2 linked regions of the Arabidopsis thaliana genome follow. The protein of the gene in region 2 interacts with the protein of the main gene of each other region in a pairwise test. Each region holds a gene or a part of one and is shown on either strand. Other genes may lie near its edges. The genes, in order: UMAMIT30 and PGPS2.

Region 1 (3,931 bases), on a different chromosome or scaffold from region 2:
TAGGGAAGTAGATCAAGGAGTCATCGGAATAACCAAAAGTTGACCGTTGTTAACATTTGTACGGCCTTCCTCTTCCTTTTCTTCTTCCACCGTATTGGTAGGCAACTTCATGATCTTACACTCTACTATTTGCTTACTCCTACTCCATAGAAATATATATAAACCGATCACAACCACCACAGATCCAATAACGCTACAACAATAATAAAAGTTTAGTCCATAACATGCACATGATATAATATATTCAAGAGGTTTATATAGTTAAAATATAAAGTTAATACAGTTAGATTTTTAATAATATACCTTCCCAAATAAATCTCACGATGAAGAATCAAGAAATCGAACACGGTTGCAGACATAAGCACGACAGGACTAAATGATGAGGAAACGACAGGTCCTTGTTGTTTGATACACCACGACATGCCCACCGTACACATACCTTGTGCAACCACTCCCTATAAACATATATTAACAATAGATCAATATCTGATTATTGTGTGGATCCAAATTATTTATATGTCTGACGAAACATTGTCTTATATACCGCTATAACGACGGTGATGATGGTAAGCTCATCTCTAAGGATCCAATCTTCCAAATGTCTAGTCTTAATTAAACTAAGAAGGGCGCATTGAAGCGTACCAAAGACCGACAAAATAACGGTACTCGAGTATGGACAAGGGTATTTCACGTTGATCTTGGCTTGTATAAGCATCCAAGAACTGAAAAGAACAACTCCGGTCAATAAAAAGAAACAACCTTTGATCCAATTCTCATGTCCTGTGTGGTTATTTGAATTTGCTGCTTGTTCTGGAGAGTTTGTTAATGGAATCCCTTGATACATAGTAAGAAGTAAACCTCCTACTAAGCTTATCAAAGTTCCAAGAACGACACCGTATCCTATTTTTGTTTTCAAACTTAGCTTTTCGAACCTGCAAATTTTATTTTTTCAAAATAAAAAGGTGTAAGATTACACTTGAGATGATAGCGTATATGGCACTTTTCTTTATTTTAACAATAATTGTACCCAAATATTAAAGCCATAACGAAAGTGAGGGAAGGCATTATGGCCCAGAAAGCAGATCCCAGCGTTGCAGACGTGTAGGACAGTCCAAGCAAGTAGAAATATTGCATCAAGCTCGCCCTGAAAAAGAAAGATTTATGATAAACGATTATATTTCATTTTATCAAAAACAAAAAAAAATAACATCTTACATAAACATACAAAAAAAGCAATAAAGAGGGAGAGAATAGAAAAACATAAGGATTTAGTGGATTAAAACCGAAACTTACCCAAAAAGGGCACTGACGAAAAGCTGACATGAGATGCTTAGAGTTAGCTTTGGTCTTGTTTTCCTGAACAAATCATGAAATCGAATATTTATTTTGTTAGGCACACACAATTCTGATTCTATATCCGTACATAGAAAAACATTCATGAAACTCTCTAGTATATACTCTTTATTGTTTTCAAGTTAATATTCTTTTATCTTATGAAATAAAATAAATTAAATAAAGTAATTAGCCAGAAAAAAAAAGATAGAGATGAAGCATCAAACGTGATATTTGTGTCTTCTTGTATTTTCACAACATAGTAACCAAAATTCAATTTTTTTAAAAACACTGCCACAAACTTTTAAATATTTTATTATTTTATTAAGGCATAACGAAATGTATAAAAATCTGAAAGCTACGAAAATAAAAATCAAAGAAGAAGTAGTAAACGTACCGTTCCCAAAAATAAGCGACTGGAAGAAGGAAAAGAGTAGATATACCCAAACGATAAGTAGCAATAACCATATGATTGATGCCTCCATCAAGAACTTTCTTAACTAAAGCATTAACCATTCCCGCAATCATGTTAGAAACAATTAAGACTATCATTGGTGCCCACTTTCCATCGATAAAACCCATGATTAGTATAAGTTAATTACTTAATAACCAAAATGATATCTCTTTCTTTCTCTCTCAGTCTCGCTCTCTCTCTTAGCTTTTACTCTATCCTTCTCTCTCTGTCTCTTCTTCAGAAACTTGTTTGAGTAGTGAAATATTAAGACTAGAGGTGGATATATTTATAAATAACATGGATGTTGAGTTGGAGCCCATTTCTTTCTAAAACAACAAAAAACAATGAAAATATTTAAAGAACGAGTAGGTATTGAATTCTTTTTTAACTATGAAACAAATTATAGAACTACTAAGTAAAGTTCTTTAACAGAAAAAAAAAAAAAACTATTAAGTAAAGTTATATGAAACATTTGTTTTTTGAAATTGTAGGTATAGAATATACTGTTTTTCTCGGTGGAAGGGATTAGTAATATATATATATATATATATATTTATATGTAACTGTGATGATGTATATACCACATATGAATGATGTTTCTATATGTATTAAGTTATTAACTATATATTTGTTATAAACTATGCGGGGGCATGCTAATAGTATATATTTCTAAAGATATTAACTATTAGGTAAATGATATACGGGTATGTCAAACTACAAAAAAAAAAATACAACTAAATACTAGGAAATATAAAACTAACACCACTACTCAGTAAAGTTTAGTGGTGTCAAAAAATTATAATTAATTTCTCAATATGTTAGATTTATTTAAGTCACGACTAAATAATGGTAATTAAAGACATAAAATTAAATTAATAATATGAAAATTAGTTTTTTCTTTTCTTATACAACTAAATCTCATACAAATACTCTTCTAAATTTAAAACAGTACTATAAGTTTATAACACAACAGCTTCACTAATAAGCTACCCACCCCGGTCCATAACTGAGTTTGTCGTCAACTTTTCTTATTATATTTATCGACTATATATGTAGCACTAATCGAATTAAAAATTGTTGTTTTGCTCACGTTGTTAATTACGAGTTCAGTGTAATCATTTTAACAAAAATTAAAGAAATGGATAAAACCCAATCATTTCATCAAATGAAAGCAAAGTTGCCTTTGTACCGAACAATTGAATTAATATTTCCCCCAAAAAGAAGCAAAATTATAATTTAAAACATACTTTCACTATCTCTATAAACTTATAAGGTATACGACACATTGTAAATTGACAAGTACACCAAATTCTTTTCTGTTTAAGATTTATTAATATGTAAGCTTACTGATGATAAGATAATTAGATTTCCTTTTTCGTAAATACCAGATTTTATAAGCCCAATTGGAGCCAAACAGCAAAAAATTAAAATTAAAATATGTTCGTAATGTCATAATAAACTATAAAAAATACAGTTTTTTTTAGAAAAGTTTTATCAACCAAACTCCGATGGTTTCAGATGACCTCCTTATTTTTTTTTTTTTTTGGTTCCATACTTCCAGATTAACCACATAATAAAAAAATAAAAAATAAACTTTACTACTACTTGCATCAAAACAAATTACCCAACTTTATATTGAAAGACATTCAAATAACACATGAATAATGTTTCTTCCACTGGTCACATAGTTGATTTTTTTTTTGAATATAAGAACTGTAAATATCATTTCAAAAAATGAAAGTTTAGGATTTAATTGGTCCGAGAAATTTTTGTAAAAAACATGAAAGCATAGACATTCGAGGATTAAATCATCAACGAAAACCATAAGCGGTGAAGCTTATGGCAAGGCTACATTTGAAGTTTTTTTGTTATCACACATCCTGAAGCTAATTGACAATAAACTTGTTGCCACCTGCCAAATAAAATGTTTTAATTTTGCAAGAAAAAAGATTTTCCCAATTATACTTTTAAAAGCATTAAAGTTTTGTCTCCAACTATAATATTCAGAAGGTAAAACTCACGTAATAGAGCAAACCATTAATATGATTTAACAGTAAATTTCCCAAATCCAGTGAAATGCCATGTACTGTATAGTTATCATGTCTATATAAGTGTAAGCTAAATACCCCACCCACGAGTAAAATG
Region 2 (3,931 bases):
TGACATGCAACAATTGTTTTCATTTATATCAGAATTCATGAGACCAAGTCTTCGACTAGAACGAAATTGCGCCTGCTGCTTTTCCATCATTGCCCATAAGATCGTGCTTGCTGCTTCATTAAAATTCGGTGCTAGCCGGAGCAATGTGATTCAGAGATATTATACAAAACCAAACCAAGTAGAGTACGACCCCAGTGCCCAAAGTTGAAAACAGAACTAAAGCATCATATAAGAGTCTTATAGTGCTTGCCCAACTAATTTCATTTGTATCCAGAGAGAAATTAGTCAGCTTTCTTCAAGAAGAAGAGAGGTAAATCTTCCATTCTATGTGTATATACTGAATGCAAAAAGCCCGAAAAAAGAGTTTTTTGTTGCTACTTCTTTAGCAGTACTCTCCATATCTTCCTCATATAAACAACTAAAGACCATATAGAGAGCCCTGCAGATACATAGAGCAACCCAATACCCGACGGTAATAGTCTCTCAAAACTGCTATCCCGGCTTGCAAGAAGTATGGTTAGCGCTATCATCTGCGTTGCAGTTTTCCACTTTCCCAAGCTATTTACAGCAACAGCCTAGCAACATCAATGCCATTTCCATGGATTAGGAAAGGAACACTTACGAAAACAGATCCAAGAGAACGCACATGATGGTGATAACTTTACCTCTGAAAGCTTGCCGTTTTGAGATGCAGCCCATTCTCTTACTGCAGACATAGTAATCTACAGTGAAAAGTATACCGACTAGTTTAGAACAGAAAGCTGATAAGTGAAACTTACTTAACGGTATATCAGAATTCTGTATCTTACCTCTCTACCAATGATGGCGATTGAAGGTACTGTCACTAACCATGGAACTGGTCCTAAGACAACGGCGACCATTGGTTTAGTGCACAACAATATCAATGTAGCTGCTACCATAAGCGCATACCAATGACATAAATCAGAATGATAAAAATCATTCCTTTCTGGTGGAGAAAAGATAAAGAGGATAGAGGTAGCTAAGGAAGAAGGTATCTGACCTTATCTGCCACTGGATCCAAAAATGCACCAAATTCAGAACCCAATCTCATCTGAAAAGGCACGTCTCACTGTTAAAAGCTTACAATTTCAACTATGCAGAAGAACATGAAAGGGTAAAGAAAGAAGTTACCTTCCGTGCAATATATCCATCAAGCCAATCTGTAATGGCTGCTGCAATGAAAATACTTGTCGTAGCAGTTCTTCCCCACCAGCAATCAACGTAAAAGGCTACATTTCAAAAACCAAAGGAGATGATGAAGATAATGCAATGGGAGATAAAACAATCAAAATCAGGAATTGAACATCAAAAGATCCAATTCAGATTAAATTTGAAGAGTGGTAACAAGTGAAGTACACATAGCAATAAGCTCAATTTCAAAAAAGTTGTCGAATTTCTCGAATTCAAACCAACAAAACTCTGATCTGGAAAAATCGCAATTGCATCTTCGTTTAGATCTGATGATTAGACTCCTATCACACACCGAACAAGTACAATGACTCCAACCAGAATTCAGAGTCGAAAAAAGTAAACTTACTGGCGACGAGAATCGGAACGGCAGCTACACGGCCAAGGGTTAATACGGTAGGCAATGTAATCACTTTAGAAGAAAGCTGTGTCGGTGAAGGCAATGGCGACGAATGACGATTACGAAGCAATGAATCTTTGCCACCACCGAAACTGTTCTGATCCACCGTCGCGGTGTCTTCTTCACCCATATCCTCCACAAGAGCTGATCTGTAAACCTGACGATCCGACAAAGAAGGAAGAGAAGCACGAAGAAGGGCGGTGGCGACACCGACCTGAATCCGGAACCCTAAGCCTTTATGGGAGTCACACAACGGCCAATAATAATGCAGCTTGGGAGAGATGCTAACGTGCGCTAACTATGAAAATAAGCGAGCCGGGTGCGTAACGTGCGCCGATAATCGTCGACTTTGGATTGATATGGACGATTGATAATGAAGCAAATGGCACGTTTTGGGCCTTCTCTTTAATTCTTAGCTGATTTTGATTTTATATATTTGTTAAAAATGTAAAACTAATATCTTCGTTGTATGTTTGCATGAATCAATATCATATAGCTACTTCCCACCAAAAAAAATATATCATATAGCTACTAATCTCAACTTATATTGTTCGATGGAGTCATCACTTTGATAGTTAATCTTCAACACCCATTCGCTACCTACAACCTTTTGCATGAGTTGATGTGTGTCAAATCCCAAGTCTCATTTCGTTGTAATGCCTTCTTTGGCCATTGCTCTTTTCTATTATGTGCTGCACTCTTCCTCTTACGTACGTTTGTGGTTCCATACTTCCATGATTGAATCTAAAACACTAACAAAAACTTGGTGCACATTTGGAAGATAATCATTGTGATAATGAACAACCATATAATCATTTGTGTTGGTTTACCCAAACCGACGAATATTTGGTTTTGTAAACAAGTGTTTGAGAACGTGAGAGTATTATAGAAACAAGAATTTAAGCTCCTTACTAGCCCCTAAACAAAACTCCAAATTATACACGTACGTATATAGGTAAATAAATATACAGTACACGAAATAGTAGATTATAATATTTAAACCATTGAATTGACTAAAGTTATAACTGTGTATATATTCAACTAGCCATTGGTGGATATTCTTCATAATTTCTCAAATCTGGATTTTCATATTTGTTTCATCTTCTATTGATTTTGCACCTAAAACTCTTAACACAATTATGTAAACCTCTCTTAAGTTTGCCAAGTGTGATTGAAAGGAAAAAAGAGTGAGACTATTAACTACATATATGAAAGTTCTATTAGAGTCAAACAATTAGTAACTAAAATAAGAATTCTAATTAATATATGATAGAAATTTCCCACTTGATTAAATTTAATATGGTGAATACTTAGATTATGGATTTAGCGAATCTAAGAAAAACTTATTAAAAAAAAATAAAAAAAAATTAAAGACATATTTAATTCCCTAGAAAAGTCCTTTACCAACTCCTAAAGCAATTGGTCCTTTACCGACAAATCGACAACCATTACAATCCCCACAATTATTTTCTTGCATATCTATCTTTTTAGGGTTAAAAATGAATCTCATCAATCAAAGATTTTGGTAAATGTGTTTAGTTTTTTTTTGAAGTTCGACTATTTGAGGTTAATAATTAAAGACCAACCATGGTCGCGCTACAAATTGAATACGGTATGGTAAACCATACGTTCACGCTTGTTACACATACATCAAATTAATAACGTTCGTACTTTAAACTGAATCTTATAAGGATGATACATGACGTAGATGTCCTTAATCCCATATCTAATAACAACTTTGTCTATCTTTCAAAGTAGGTTGATATAGACTCGCACAACCACACAAAAATTAGATATAAGGATATGATTTTTCTTTCATCAAATTGTCATTTTGGTCTTACAAATAAGATAATTAACTCAATCAAATTATCTGAAGATAAAATTGACATAGCAAAATATTGGAAGACAACTGTGAAATTCACATTTACATACAAAATCAGTAAGTAGTTAAAAAGATAGGAGTAAAAAAGATATACAAAAATGAGAGAAAGATGAAAGAGACCTTTTGGACTCAGTGTCAAGGAATCGAAACGCAGTCAAAATAGAGAGAGAGAGAGAGAGAGAGAGAGAGAGAGAGAGTCACACATGTAATAAACCTTGGTCGACAATCTCGCCCTTTCCATGTGATTTCTCCACTTCCTCTCTCTCTCTACTGCAACTTCCTCCTCCTGCTTCAACTTCATTCGGGTAATGATGAACTAGCGTAGAGATTTGGATCTTCTTCTTCGTCCTCTCACCAACTCTTCACCGGTTAGATCTCTTTTTCACGCTAACGAATGAGGAGCGTTGCCGCCGCCGCCGCTGCTGCTGCTGCTGCTTCTA

What was found.
Region 1: the proteins of PGPS2 (region 2) and UMAMIT30 interact in a protein complementation assay, tested with the Arabidopsis thaliana proteins (one large-scale study listed by BioGRID).

Annotation. Positions count from the first base shown.
Region 1 is NC_003075.7:606,569-610,499, reverse strand, and holds the start of UMAMIT30 (nodulin MtN21 /EamA-like transporter family protein), read right to left. Parts: upstream 2,228-3,931; 5' UTR 1,915-2,227; coding exon 1,730-1,914; intron 1,357-1,729; coding exon 1,294-1,356; intron 1,145-1,293; coding exon 1,028-1,144; intron 933-1,027; coding exon 545-932; coding exon of another isoform or gene 509-544; exon of another isoform or gene 456-508; coding exon 304-455; intron 194-303; coding exon 13-193; 3' UTR 1-12.
Region 2 is NC_003074.8:20,394,668-20,398,598, reverse strand, and holds the start of PGPS2 (phosphatidylglycerolphosphate synthase 2), read right to left. Parts: upstream 2,003-3,931; 5' UTR 1,740-2,002; coding exon 1,559-1,739; intron 1,251-1,558; coding exon 1,153-1,250; intron 1,073-1,152; coding exon 1,022-1,072; intron 924-1,021; coding exon 810-923; intron 723-809; coding exon 666-722; intron 576-665; coding exon 375-575; 3' UTR 1-374. Other genes in the region: AT3G55020 (Ypt/Rab-GAP domain of gyp1p superfamily protein), read left to right, coding at 3,886-3,931. UniProt on the Arabidopsis thaliana protein: Catalyzes the committed step to the synthesis of the acidic phospholipids, including phosphatidylglycerol (PG). Together with PGPS1, required for the proper embryo development by providing PG accurate levels.